Linked DNA regions of Lepisosteus oculatus. The protein of the gene in region 2 purifies or fractionates together with the protein of the main gene of each other region. This does not show direct contact. Links are inferred from orthologs where the notes say so. Each region holds a gene or a part of one and is shown on either strand. Other genes may lie near its edges.

Region 1 (7,679 bases), on a different chromosome or scaffold from region 2:
CATATACTTTATATCACAGCACAACATTCCCAGGAGCTTGGAATCCACCCTCCCAGTTTTCCCATTACCTATAATGAAGTGGCTTTTAATCAACAATGGTGTCTCTCTAATGCACATAGATTTTAACGAAAGAGAACAAGAATCGAAGCTGCAGATCACATGTACTCTACACGTCCTGGACTATTCTCTTTGGGTTGGCCCGTTTCCCCTAACCCACCTCATCAGCACCGATGTGCAGCCACCGCAGCCCGGGATGGCAGTCCAGAACCTGCGACAGCATGGCCTGGACCAGCGGCTGCGAGCCAGGGGCGTGGGGGTTCAAGCTGTTGGGGAACCCTGGCACCTCCCTCAGGTTCGAGAACTTCTCGTGCTTCAGAGCAAACTGTGCAGACAAGATCAGAGACACTTCTGAAGCAGGCCACAGCTCGCTTGAGCCTGGGGAGAAGCAGTTTACATCTCCCAAATCCCTGATGGTGGCACACCAGGAATTCACTAAAATGATCAAGATGCCAAAAAGTCTCTGAAGTGGGACATGTATATATCTCACTTATCCAGCATCACAATATCATCACAAGCACATTGTGAGAGGTGTTGCTGGGGTCTGTTAATTAAGCCTTCAACAAGAGTTACTCTAAGATGCCATAATGCGGACTTGCTTTAGCAACCCCAGTAACTTAATGCTACATACATAAACGACAGGAACAACACCCACAAACAGGATAAAGCAGATCAATGTCTCCTGCATATCGAAGGACAGAACTAAGAGCAAGACAGAGCAGGACAATATGTAATAACATATCAAAGAACAAGACAAGCACTCAGATTGTGAAACAAACTTCTTTCTGACTGTATATAAGAGCTGGAAAAACCCTTGCAGTGTGTCTGTTCTGTGGGGCAGACCCAGCGTGCATTGTGTACTTATTGACAGTCTTGTGCAAACAGAATCTGCACAAGACTGTGTCCTGCTCCTCCTCTGCTCCTCTGATGAAGAATTTCCCACAGCAGTCTTCATATACACTGCATTCAGTTCACTGCAATCAGATTCCTGGGTAGAAATATGGTTTTATGTTCCTGCATGTGATTGTATGCATTATTTGCATGCCTGAGCTTTAAACACAAGCTCTAGAAAACAGTTGTCTAACTGCCCAGCTCTGCAGTCTGTCCCACTACTGGATTTTGACACAACCAGGGCGTTTTCTTCACTCAATCACGTGTTTAGAGCTGCACTGGGACAGAAAGTGGGGAAGTTCAGATGCCCTGTTTTAGAGATGTGTCCTATCGCATGACTCTCTGGGTCAATGTATCTCCCTCACCTCCAGGTGTCCAAACACTTGAACCAGGGGGATGATCTCCAGCTTACTGAGCTCTGCCAGGTGCCTGATCTTCTGAATGTCCTCCACACTACAGCAATGAGAGAACAATAGGACAGTTACCCTGTGGGAACACTTGAGCTTCCTGTAACAGAAGAAGCTACACAGAGAAATATAGAAGTAACTCCATGGGCCACTCTCTCAAGCACAGCTCTCTGATTTGCAAAGCTAAAAGCCTAATTTTAACATGCAGCTGATCCAAAGAGTTCTCAATGCATGGAGCAAGCTGATGGGAACCATGAGTATCATGCAACTCTAAAGCCCAGTGAAATGAATTAGAAACTGAAAGATGTTTTGCAGATAATTGAGACTGAACATGTTCTTGGCAGTGAGTTGTGTGCAGTTTCCTGTACCCAGCTGCCCAGCAGCACTCACCTATAGGCATGGGGCGATCTGAGGATCTGAAGGTCACCCTCATACGGAAACATATCCTCATATTCCAGCAAAATCCCATTGGCCCCAAGAGAAGACAACAATGGGAATACCTGGGAGAAAACACAACAATGAGGCTATAAGCATATGTGGTTTCAAGCTCTAAGAAGCAAATTCGGATCGCGGGAGCAGTCCAAAACTGCAGGTACACTTCAAAGCAGGTGCAGGTGCAGCCTTTATGCATCACAGTCTCCTTCTGCTGAAATGCTTTCATGCATTTCTTTTTTTCTGGCAATGTGTTTTTAGCCAGCTATACTGCTACAGTTGGGAATAATAAGCAGGCTTGACCATCTTACAGCTCTAAAGCCATATGTGGCTCTTTGTTTTAAGTGAGTCTGAATGCTGCCACAGTACCATAAACTCTTCATTAAGAAGACTTACTCTAACCCAAAGCACCATACGCCCCTCCAGCCCTGCTCACCTGCTCCAAATAGGTGAGTTTAGGGGCAGCACCTTTGAGATCAAAGTGCACAACCCTCAGTGGAGTCTGGTTAGTGTCTTGCCGAGGGGTGACTTTGGGTTTTTTCGGGGAGTCCTGTGCCTCTCCTCCCTGAGACTTCTGAGGCTCCTGTGACTGGGATGTCTGCTGACGAGCCCACACCAGAGCCTCCTTCTTCTGCGGAGTCTGCTTTTCGTTCAAGACCGCCCCTCCGCCAATCTCTCTGTGCCCCCAGAACACAGCAGGGTCAGGCACAGGCAGCTTAGAGCTTGAACACAAACACACGACAAGAGAGCGACAGAGCAGAGACAGAGCTCTGGTCAGGAGACGGGCTGATTGTTGTGGCAATCTGCATCTGTACTACAATTAAGCCGCTTAAGTGAAATATTGTCTTGGCAAACTGATGTGTTTTGGAATGTGAAAGGAAAACAGAGGAAACCCATACGAACACAGGAAGAACATGCAAACTCCACACAGATATCGCCCCAGGAATTGAACCCAGGGCCCCAGAGCTGTGAGGCAGCAATGCTATTCACTGGCCCACTGAGCTGCCTCAGGTTACACTAGTACCTAGAAATTCCAATTGAGGCACTAAACTGAGATGAAGGTAGAAGAACAAGAAAAACAAGCCCAAGAATGTTAACACAAAACCAAAAAAAAACACTCAAGCAGGCAGTATGCAGAAAGGAAAAACATGACTGTTCTTTTCCTGCTACAGACGTCTTGATCCAATGGTACCATAGGGCTTTTGTTTCATGTGTCAATAGAATAGATATGATAACATGCAACTAAAATAAAATACAAATTCATCAACAAAATACACAGTTCACACCACTTGCTTACTTTACACAAAATCAGACGCAACCTGTAAACGCCCACTGAAGCGATTACATAAAGAATGCAGACAGTGTTAGAGCCTGTTTTTGCTCTACAGATCATTCTTTATGAAAAGGACCTCTCTATGATTGACAGTACCATACCAACACTGCCCAGAACCACTGGATTTCGAAACTGCCACTGGCTGTAAACTTAAGATGCAAATCCTACATCTCCTGACCGACTTTTACATTAGGCTGCAGCTTTAGCACAGTAGTGGTGAGATTTAGCTGGAACGTCTAGATTATGTTCATGGGATAAAGAAATAAGAGTGAGCTCCAGGGAAGAAGTGAAAATTAGAACAAATGTTAAGCGCATCACACAAACATATTGGGACTTTCTTGTTGGATGCCTGGTCATTCCCATTGGGAATGTAATATTCAAGGTCAGGAGTGAACTAATACCCAAAGAGCAGCTCTGCCTCTCTGCTGTTTAACACCCCACACCAGGCTGCCCTGTCTGTCTCTCAAAGGAATCCTACTCACTTGGACCTCAGGAGGAACCTAACGGCAGTCAGGACCACGACAGACAGCACCACCAGTCTCAAGACCGCCGGCTTCCTCATGAAGTGGGTGTTCATTTCTGCAGCTCAGTGCTAAAACGTAGACAACAAGGACAACGCATTAACAGCACGGTGCTCTATCAGAAGAGAGAGGCAAAGAAGAGACCGACTGAGCCATTCTTCCTCACAACAAAAAATGTCTAAATTCGACAGAGGAGGGATGGGCAGTTCTGGTCTGCAGGGTTTAATTCTGACTCATCTCTTCACAAGCTCATTATTGGCTATGGGACCAGTTGAACAGCTTCTCCCAGCTGTTTCTCAGTGCGCCTGCTTTGAATTTCAATTAGAATTAGCAAACCTGTAGGCACACTGACCCTCCAGGGCTAGGACTGTTCACCCCTGCTATGGATTTCCAAAAAGCACAGTAAATCATCACCCAGGCACTTACCTACTGACACTCCATCAAGCAAAATGCTCCTAGTAAGTAAATATACTTGAGTAAATATGCCTTGGTAAAGCACTGATAAGCTCTTAACAGGGACAGGCATTGGCTGCTGTTGTGCGCTGAATTCTGGATGACCTACGTCCTGTACGCCCAGGACATACCATATCGACAAGAGGTGGATTCCATAAGATCACATAAAGGTTTAGGCAAAACCTTGTTAAATGTTAAGCAACTTGTGAATGATAGGACTTCAGCTGCGTTGCAACATAAAAACCTCTTTGACATTTACTCTTAATAGTCCCCGAAGGACAAAAAGTTATTTGCAGTCATTAATCGCTATCAAAAGCTTAGTGGAAAGTTCAATTAAGGCGCTCAAAATGGGCTGAAGAAATGATTTTCTCCTGCAGAATACCCAAATTACAAGGGACAGGGGCGATGCAAATCTTGAGATTTTACAATAGTCTCTACAGGCAACCACTGCTCCCTGAAAAAACAGAGGGCAAAGGTTAAGCACAACCTATAGCTACATAAATATTTGCCTTAACGTCATTTAAAATCACGGTGTGTAGAAAACTACTATAACAATGGTGCAGTGAGTTTAAGTTTAAGTGGAGCAGATTTAGTGTACACAAACGTTGTTTTCCATCCACCCTGTGTGTCAACAACACTCCCACGGGCAACTGCAGCGCTACAGGTACTGTGATTTGGTTTACCATTAAAATAACACTAAAATAAAACCCCGACCCTTCCTTCCTTAACCACGGTAAAACTATCCCTCCACAAATGAATAACGATGCAGGGTCTGATCAAATTCACGTACCGAAATTGTTTTTTGTTTTTGTTTTACTAAACGCAATGGTGCTTTAGAAATATATATTGTAACGCACTTACACAGTGCCTGTCGGCCGTAAGCGTTACAATATATATAATGTGCAGTACACATCGTATTCAATAGTCGATGAGCGCTGCTCGGTTGCTATTTAGCGCAGTAAGAAAACAGGCCCCTTGCAAGAATAAAACGAGAAAAATGCACCTGCTGCATGTTAGGCTGGTGCCATCTAACATACCAGGCTGAATCAGTATATTACACCTTACTTCGCTCTGGATAATAATTGTATAGCAGGAACTTCAGCACAGTACGTACCTTACCTAAGAGATACAGGCGATCTTACCGTCACCCCTCTGCGTGCTGCGGTGAAATTTAACCAAAAAAACAATTCTAATGGCAAATGATTTTCAGAAATAAATGCACAAGGTCAGGGAGTAACATAAGAAGCGCTTTCTCGTTTCGTTACTTCCGTATGTTTCGTTATCAGTAGTTAGGCTCAGAGTCAGTGTGATCGCTACAGTATGTCGTTAATTATACATTTCCCCACGGTGCGCTGTCACACTTGCTGACTGCGCGCAGCACTACACAGTATTAGTAAAAACTAGTTTGGCACATTATTTTGATGTTGGCTCGTTTTAAACTACGTTTTAAACCACCAAGGAACGATTTCAGGTTGAGGATCCAAAAATAGTTAACCGTCAAGTCCAAAAACGGACATGACAAATAAATATATTAAGGTCAGATTATTATTTTTTTACCATTTCTTTCACAAAATAATTTCCCTCTGGTCGTAGGCGAAATCAATTGCTAACAAAATACAGAACATTTGAAACAGATCTTTCAACTGAAATACATTTTTATGAAATTTCCCTGCAAGTAAAAAATAGTATACTGTGGTTTTGATTTCAATTGCTTTATCCGTTTTATATATGTATTTATTTGTCTATATTAGCCATCCCTTAGAGCGTAATTAGAATACTTAGTATATGGACCATAGTGGTCGGAACTTACAGTCTAAATCCTTGTTGCAGTGGGGAACATTACAGAGAGGAATTCAAAACAACTGGGGTTGGTGTTAAGTGATATTTGCTTTACAAAATAAATATCTATATTACTAGTGTTATTTGGGAGTCGGCACATCTGTGTAAGTGTTATATACTTTTAATTCTACAAAGTTTTAAATTGTTTTAGTTCTTTTAAGTGTTTTAAAGCATCATAATTGTGTATCGTAGACTGTATGCTACTGCTACTGTATTTGTTTATAGAGTAGGTGGATCTTTCATAAATGTTTTGTGTATAAATAAATCAGATTGTTTTTTATAACGATTGCTATTTTATTAGGAATAGGCTACTAACAAAAATAATATTTGTACTGATCCATGAAGGGTGAAGAGCTCCGGTCTTATTGGAACATGAATGTAAACCAAGGTACCGTCGGCAGCGACCCGGTTATCCTGGCCACAGCCGGCTACGACCACACGGTGCGGTTCTGGCAGGCCCACAGCGGCATCTGTACACGAACCGTCCAGCACCAGGACTCGGTATCCTTAAATAGGCACCGGATGGGGCAGCTTGTAACGTCTGCTATACAAGCTGAATGTCTTGAGTAGAGTTGAGCACAGTGTTAAGACCAGTACTTCACACTGCGGCTAATGCCCAGTCTCTGATCAAAGACGGAAGATAAATTAAGAAATACTGGATTAGATTAGATCTCTTAATTTTATTTTTAATGTTGTATCTGGCTATGATTTGGCTTGAGCACCTTATCAGATATTTCTGAACATTGATGCCATCAAACAGTGGCAGTGAGTAACTTAGTAGCTCCAGTGTCTTGAGTTCCAATCCCTTTCTGTTTGTGTGGCGTTTGCATGGTCCCATGTCTTTGTGGGTTTACTCGTGGTGCTCCTATTAACTGCTCTGGCAGTCCAAGGAATCAGGACTACACCCTGTGCCTGTAGGTGTAGGCACACTGCGGTCCTCTGAGGATAAAGCACTCATTGAAAATGCATGTGCGAATGGATGGACAGCACAGTCCACTTCTGTACAGCTGGTCATCAACAGTAATGTGCCGTTGATGGCGTCTAATCAATGTACAGGTAGTGATCATGTGTAAAATGTGCTCTGCTTAATGATTAGTAGGGCACAGGGGGCTGCCTAATTATTTTTGTTCTGGTTCCTGAACCTGGCTGCTCAGCAGGTGAATGCCCTGGAGGTGACCCCTGAACGCAGCATGATTGCTGCAGCAGGTGAGTACCTTACCCTCTTGTGTCTAATCAATACCAGAACCCCAATCTGCAGTTTTCTGCAGGACCCCTGATGGCCAGGTTCCATGGTGTGGCAGGATAGACTGTTCCCAGCTCTTAATGCAATAAAGTATCTCTTTTCATTCCTGCTACCATTTCCATTCTCATTCCATTATTGAGCCTAATGAAGTCCCATGGGCAAAGTTGGCGGTATCATCAACTCTCCTCCATGCTCATGACACGTCTCCTGTGTCTGTCCACTTTTGTGAACACAGATGTGCCTAATTCCAGAGTTTTTGAATTTTATTAGACCAGTAGTTCTCAAAACCTTTTGGACCAAGCACCACCCCTGATCAAACCAAACCATCCAAGTACCACCTACAAGTCATCTTCTCATAGGAACCCCAGAAATTCTCAATGACCAACATGTGCGAGCACGCACACACTCACATACACATATAATAAATATAATAATAATAATCAACTTTATTTGTTATAGCGCTTTTAAAGGTGGCTTCTCAAAGCGGTTTACAGAAAAAAAAA
Region 2 (7,515 bases):
TCAGAAACAAATAAATTGACAAAGTAGTCATCATCTAAAATAACCACAAAGCCCTGAACTAATAAAAAATAAGGGATTCAACATTTTGCAGCATTATATTAAAAATAAGGCTGCCTCTCTTATTTTAAATCCCGAAGACAGCTCAAAGCAGAAATGCCCTTAGCCCCCTACTCCCTTCCAGCTCGCATCATATTTAGACAAGGATGCTGTGTAGTAAAAAAACAAGGTTAATAAATGACTTCAATACAAACAGGATGAATCATGTTTTAAAAGAAAAAAACACTTGAATCTGATTTCACTTATCACACAAGGCAGAGCCCAGTTTGGCTTGCAAAGGTTATCTGCTTGTAACCGATTTTCTAAGCCTGCTGAGTGATTTGTTTGAATGTAACTAAAAAACTTAAAGATCCACATCTGGTCAGTGGTGCCACTGCCATGGTTATTCTGTTATTGCTGGTTGTTTTGGAGAATTATTTGGATTTTTTTGAAAGTTAGATAACAAATGTTACATTTAATATTTAATCTGAAAAGGTTTAAAAGATCACCCTGTCATTCTAGATAAAAAGAACCCCAGCCCTTCAACGGGTAAACAACCAGTGGTGCAGACTGAGCCTGCCTAGCTCTCAAATCCCAGCTCAAAGCTGTACACCACAGCTCTCCTTACAGTGAACGGAACACTGGCGACTCAATTTAAGCAGTCTCAGCTTTATCCGACCTGCTCTGGAAAATAAAAAATACTCTTAAAAATGCTTTATTCTCTGAAAAATTAACCAAGCACACCTACAAGAGGTAGTTAGTGAGCCTATACAGTCATTTTACTTGTATTTACTTTTATTTAGCATTTTTATACTTATATTTAATATTCTGAATTACCATAAGAGGTTTTTTTTCCATAAAGGTTTAGGGTAAAACCTGACAGTATGCGTATTTGACTAGACGCTACTCAAAATCCTTAACCCTACAGTAAGTTAAGAGTAAACTGTAAAGGACACATCACAAAGTAACCAACTCTCCCATATAAAAAAAAAAGAAACGTGCGCAAGAAGAGTGGCCAATTCACAGAGCAGTAGACATGCAAGAAAATGTGCAACGCTGATTAAAAACCAACAGGTATAAATCACGTGCATGGGACAGCCTCATGCAAAGACCCAATTCCACCTCACAACTGCTCGACACAACCTTCTTTCTCCACAGGTACACACAATTGTTTATGAGCATGCGCACGGGCCTTAAAAACCCACTTGCTCCGATCTCCCACAACTGAAACACACCTCTCATGCCTCAGAACGAAAACTGAATGCCTCCCAGCGCAAGAAACAGCAGTAATGCCCAGAAAACAAGGACACGTATCCGATTTGCTGCCATTAAAAGAGTACGTCTGTCTGCACTTGTAGAATGCAGATGACGACATATTTCGGTGCTGTGCTTTCAGGTCAAAAGGGACAGGGAACGAAAAATTCTTGGTGCCTACCCCTAGATTTCAAACAGCTCGAATGTGCTCACTAACATGGGAGTGCACAAGACTAGAAGCAGTACCTTCAAATCTCACTCACAACACAGTCATGTCGAGTTGCTGGGCTGAACGCAAGCAGGAAGCAGACGGGTCACTGCTTTGGACAAGACGCTCGTCAGCCCTGTGAGCGTTTGGCATTCCCGCCACGGCGGCGGCGATCGCGAAGGCAGGCGCGCGCGCTCACCCTGTCCTTCATCCTCCAGCTCTGGGCCAGCGCCTTGGAGCCCTCGATCTTCTCGCAGTGCCGCTTCTTCATGAAGGCCAGCGGCAGGTTCCAGTCCGTCATGTCGGCTTCCTCCTCCTCCCCGAGGCCCACGGCGGGAGAGTGAAGCAGCTCCGAGTCCATTCTCATCAGGGCCCTGCAAAGACCAGCGGCCGCCTCAGAGCACAACCCCATCACAGCATCGAGACCGCAGCCGGTCAGCGAATCAGTAGATCCACTCTTGTCTACTAGAACAGCCACTAGTTATGGACGCAGAGGAGGCTGATAAAGACCCAGGTGAACTCCTGACCTGGAGCCTGAGAGAACCATGAAGGAAAGCTTTTCTGCCTGCCAGACAAGTGATCACTGGCAAGACCCACCTTGGGTTGCAGCTTTATTTTGCATCCCTGGTCAGTTATGATGACTCTCAAAAGTGACACAACTATCCATGAAGGTAAAGGCTCTCATTTGCACCAGTAAGTACTGTTTAGCTTGACCAGAGCTGGGCTGGAAGGAAACCCCACAGACACGGGTGTCCCTCCATGACCAGGACCGGACAGCCCTGAGAGTCTTAAAGGATGTGTGTGTGTTGTGCACGGTGGAGATCAGACAATGTCACTGGGTCAACAAATACACAACGCGGAATCGGCTGCGGTTGTGTACCGACATGCGTGGAATGTCGTGATCGGCTTCATCGCCACGCAAGTATCACTACCTGAACAGCCAGCCACCCGTTCGGGCTTCAGTTCAGTGAAGGAAGTACACATGATCACCCCCCCCTCCCCCAAACACACAAACACACGCGTACAATTAAGAATGTGTAACGATCTGATAGGGGAAGGGAGATATTCGTAGTCTTTAAAAACTACAGCAACAATACTTATTTCTACCGGTCTTACCACCTAACACTACCGCGCGCACCAAGATCCGAAATAAACACAACTAAGCAAGATTGTCATTTCCTTCTTGTAAAACAATAAAACAGACACATGAGAGAAATCTGCCAGTAAGGAAAACAAGAAGCCCTTTAAATGGGGATGATCTCGTTCGCAGATGACACGGACCTTATCTCCCCGCAATCCCTCACACGGGAAAGGGAAAATTAGGCGTCCTTCTCCCAAAACAGAGGCAGAGCCGAAAGGCAAAAATCCCGCATCAAATTCCTCTGCAAACTCAACAGGTTTGGCGAGGTGTCTCTGCTGCCGTGTCCCAGGCCCCCGCTCTCCGTCCCCAGGCAGTATTTTCGAGGGCTCCTTTCGTCCACTCCTCGCTAGGGGCTGAAAGAGAGGCCCATTCTCGCACGGACTCGCCGCCTGAGCCTCGCCAAGGTCTGACCGGCTCCAACCAGGGACGTCACAGCCGAATATGCTGCCTCGTACTGCCGTTTATATCCCCGTCGGCGCTTCCTCTCGCTGTTGATACAGCACTGAGCCTGAATTCGCGTCTGTTTCTCCAGAGAGACACTATCTCAGCACAAACACAAGGGCGCCGCCATGTTCGGCTTGACCCAGCATGCACAGCGGTCGAAAGGGGAGGGGCTGTTGCGTGGGAGTCATTGCGCGCCCCATGTCTGTCGGTCTGGCGTTTTCAGTATGTACTATAGATTAAGCATTTTCTTAATAGCACATTTCATCATACCGAAGAAGCCCAAAGCACTGTACATACAGGATGGGACCCACCTCATTCACCATTTAGGTGCAGCACTTCAGAGCCAACTGTGGAAGCACAGGGCAGACGACCGAATGCCTGTCCAGCGCTGGGCAAAATTAAAGATGCCAGTTAACACAGCCAACTTGTCTTCAGAAACTGAAGAGGGACATGGGATAAGAGCTCTGTGAACAGAGGAGAACATGCAGACTCCTCTCAGTCCAGAATTGATCCCAGTGCCTGCGTTGAATCTCTCAAAACTAAAATCGCCTGGTGGATGGGGAATGAAATCCATGTGACACAACGTGTTTCTGCACTGAGCTCATTCAGCTTGGTGCCACACACATTTCCTTCCCCTCGCGTACTTCCTGGCAGCCCTGACCAGCTGGGGAAAGAAAACGCATGAGAAAGAAACCGCTGAAACAAACCCCAAGTGCCGACAGCACAAGTGAATCCACCTGAAGCTCCAGCTTGTCCGTTTTGCAGCTGTCCCATGGTTTCGCTAAACTCGTCAAACATTCCCTCTGGTCTGTCACAGCAGCCCCATGTCCAAATCGTAGTTTAGGAGTCCTCCCCGTGCTTTGTCACTACTACTAGTAATAATAATTCCTTACATTTATATAGTGCTTTTCTCCACTCCAAGCACTCTACAGGTAATGGGGACTCCCCTCCACCAGTGTGCAGCCCCACCTGGATGATGCGACAGTGGCCATAGTGCGCCAGTACTCTCACAACACACCAGCTCTTAGTGGGGATCAGCGAAGCCAGTTCATAGATGGGCATTATTGGTAGGGAACACCCCTAACACGCAAGGGTAAAACTCTTTTTGAGAAATGCACTGGTATTCTTAATAACCCTGGAGAATCAGAACTTCAGTTTTATGTCTGGATGGTGCCTTTACTACACTATAGTATCCCCATCACTATCCTGGAACATTTGGACCCCACACTGGCTGCAGGGTGAGCACCCCCTACTGGTCCCACTAACACCTCTTCCAGCAGCAGCCTTAGCTTTCCCAGGACGTCTCCCCTCCAGGTACTGACCAGGCTCACACTTGCTGAGCTTCCATGGACTGCAAGCTATGAGCTGCAGGGTGATACAGCTGCTGGTTGTAAGTCTGCTCTGATACAGCACAGTGAAGCTGAACACAGGACTCTCTTAAGGCTCCTTTGTTTTATTTTGTTCTGCCCGCTGAGTTGCTCGGTGTGCCCCTCTCTGGCTCTTCCTGTCATGTGACCAGAGCACAGGAGGGTGAAGTGCCCTCAGGAAAGAGCCCCACAGCTCTTCCATTCCCTACCCACACCTGTGCAGAATCCCGCAGGGACAGCTGCACTGTGCCAGAGTAGGGAACAATAGTGGCACTAAGTCAGTGATCGGTATGCAGAGCACGGCCGCAGGGCCTAAAAAGTAAGTCAAGTCTCTCGTAGTCTTGTAGCTGCAGTTATTCACTGCAAATCTGTATTATGTCAAGTCCGAAATTATCCTACCCAAACTCCCCAAATCACGTCGTCTGAACGTGACGTTACAAAGAAAGTGAGAGGAAGGGCTTTTGTTTGAATAAGGGGAGATCATTCGATTTAAATGGCATGAACAGGATAACCACTGACTCACACACAGCCACAAACAGGATTCCTGCTACTACAGACACCTCAAGCAGAAAAAGATCTGTATAAAATGAATTGCTTGCACTGACATTAGTCTTGCATTAGTCTCAAAGACTAATAGGAAAAAAAAATCTCTCATTTTAATAACATCAGAACATAAGAAAGGTTACAAAGCACAGTAGACCATCTAGCCTGTTAGGTTGTTAAACAGGTAATTGATCCCAGAATTTCCCTAAATAAGCCAGGGTTTTGGCTTCAGTATCCTGGTTGGGAAGCTTGTTCCACACTTCCACAGCTCTTTGGCTAAAGGGTTCAGACTCCGGCAATCCTAGTTCAGCTATCTCCTGCCTGCAGAAACCGTAAGTTGGAAAGCAATGGATGCAAAATCTTATACTACAGAATTCATTTCTAAAAGATCTTAGGATCAACATTTGCACAGAAAGTTCCCATGAAACTTCTTCCTCGAATCTCACCAGCACACCTCGCCCACACGCACACCCACACTGTGGAGCTGTCAAAATCCTGATTGACTAATCACCCCGCAGCTCAAGCAGGGCCTTATGGCCAATCATGCAGTCGGGTGTGTGAGAAGTGTGTCAGAACCTCCATTCGCCCTTCGTCCTCCCGGACAAGGGGAGGAATGGATCCCACATTTAAAGAGCGATCCCCCTGAAAAAAGTCTGACATCTCTAATCTTAGATCCGAATAATAATATGAGTCTACCCCATGCAAGCATCAAATATATTTTGGAAAGGAATAATTTAATTGCAATTCAAGAAAGGCATGCTCCTTCTAAGGGTTTTACTGGGGCAAGATTGCATGACATTTGCTGTAGTCCAATGGGTTTACCATCATCATACCATTCTTTGCTGTTGTCTCCACAATAATTGCTCCCAAGGGAAACCATGGTGAGAAAAAGCCATACGCTGTCGTATGGACCATCCACCTCAGGAATGCTGACAGATGTTGTACGTCCATTAACAGGAGCAGGAGGGCGGATGGGCTGCTGTTTACTGTAAGAAAACACTGGGAAAAGCCAAAAGGGCAACAGAAGCACCAAGCGTGAGCAAATATTGACAGTTAGATGAGAAAAAGCCACTCAATCTTCTTCCACTCGGATGAAGGGGATTCGGGAAGCTGCATGGCTTTTAGTAACGGGACCAGACGTCAGTGGCCATTCAATGTGCTGGAGATAAGGAAGGAAGTCAAGGGAGCAGAGGCGAGGGGGACCGCAGGCCTCCAGCGCCTCTGACCTGGAGCACCACGCGCAGCTACACGGACGCCTGCATGAGCCGCACTGTGAGCAGAGCAGGGTCTCCTTCCAGAGAGTCCCTGTAATCCTGACGAGTGCTGCCAGCAGCACAACCTGTTTAGGGGGTCGTGCGTTTGGCAACAGCGAGCACAAGAGGCTGCATCAAGATTTGCGTCAGCAAAAGCATCAAGACTGAAAAAAGTGAAAGCAACAAGCCTAAAATGGGGTGTCCTTCTTGAGCTCATACAACGCATTCAAGAGCTTTTGGAGGAAGCCTTCTTCTAAAAGGCACACAAGTACTCACATTTCACTAAATGGCCTGCAACAAATCTTTTGAGGAGAGACATCATGTTCCTGCATCAGCTCACCAGACCGGAGCTGAAGTCAGTGTGTGCAGCGTTAAGTGGACTGACAGAAGTGGTCCCTCCCTCGATGGGATGCTAGTCAATGGCTAGGCTGACAGCTGTACTCATGCCAAATCTCAAGAGTACAACCACAGTACCCACAGCGCGGACACCAGCCCACAGCCTTCCAGCTAAGTGCCCACAGCCCACACTGCTAGCCGAGTCTAACAAAGACAAAACTCAGCCAGCAGAGCGCAAAGTGTGAAAGAGACGCCAAGAACACAAGACAAGCGAAAAAATAAAGAAATGGATCACATTCACCGTACAACCAGACTCTGGCCATCCATCTGGGGTCTCTAGACGAGGACTCGAGCCCTGAGCTGGGGCTAATTGTTCCAGCTCACAGTGACTGAATGAGTGGGAACAATCTGGCAGCTGCTCCAGCTATGCACCGGGCCGCAGATGAAAACTTTAAGTGGGGAGCCCGCGTCTCCTCCGAGCCTGATTGACACAGGACTAGCAATTCAGCAAAGTCAACAGACGAGGGAATGGGGGCGGTGGGGTTAGAGACCTGGGGCTTCAGTGGGAAAATTAAAACACAAAGGAAGAAAAGTTAAAAACTTCAACTCAAAAAAGCATACTGTGCTGATTGACTCCCAGCAACAGACCTAGAAGGTTACCACACATCACACAGGATATGAGAGTTTACTGCAAGTAAACTGTAATCAAGGCAGTTTAGAATGCAGGCAAGGGCACCGACATCATTCTGAGAGTGACATGACATCATTCCGAGAGTGACATCACATCATTCCGAGAGTGACATCATATCATTCCGAGAGTGCAACCAAGCAAACAGAGGGATGGTGAGGCAGAAAACAATGCTGTTTGACCACTGTGTCAAAACAAACGTCAACGGAAACCTATAAGAACTTTTATACAAACTGACTTCACAG

What was found. The genes of interacting proteins can lie anywhere in the genome.
Region 1: the proteins of rptor (region 2) and mlst8 purify together in Homo sapiens (affinity purification with western blotting; 15 studies listed by BioGRID and IntAct, with this or other methods). This does not show direct contact. The link is inferred for Lepisosteus oculatus from reciprocal best matches to the Homo sapiens genes RPTOR and MLST8.

What each region holds. Positions count from the first base shown.
Region 1 is NC_090714.1:11,362,838-11,370,516, forward strand, and holds the start of mlst8 (target of rapamycin complex subunit lst8), read left to right. Parts: upstream 1-4,617; 5' UTR 4,618-4,758; intron 4,759-5,208; exon of another isoform or gene 5,209-5,457; intron 5,458-5,906; exon of another isoform or gene 5,907-6,037; intron 6,038-6,278; 5' UTR 6,279-6,305; coding exon 6,306-6,434; intron 6,435-7,087; coding exon 7,088-7,139; intron 7,140-7,679. Other genes in the region: hexosaminidase D, read right to left, coding at 218-382, 1,314-1,401, 1,746-1,855, 2,224-2,509, 3,603-3,697.
Region 2 is NC_090704.1:45,061,852-45,069,366, reverse strand, and holds the start of rptor (regulatory-associated protein of mTOR), read right to left. Parts: upstream 3,223-7,515; 5' UTR 2,780-3,222; intron 1,873-2,779; 5' UTR 1,866-1,872; coding exon 1,698-1,865; intron 1-1,697. UniProt on the Homo sapiens protein: Component of the mechanistic target of rapamycin complex 1 (mTORC1), an evolutionarily conserved central nutrient sensor that stimulates anabolic reactions and macromolecule biosynthesis to promote cellular biomass generation and growth.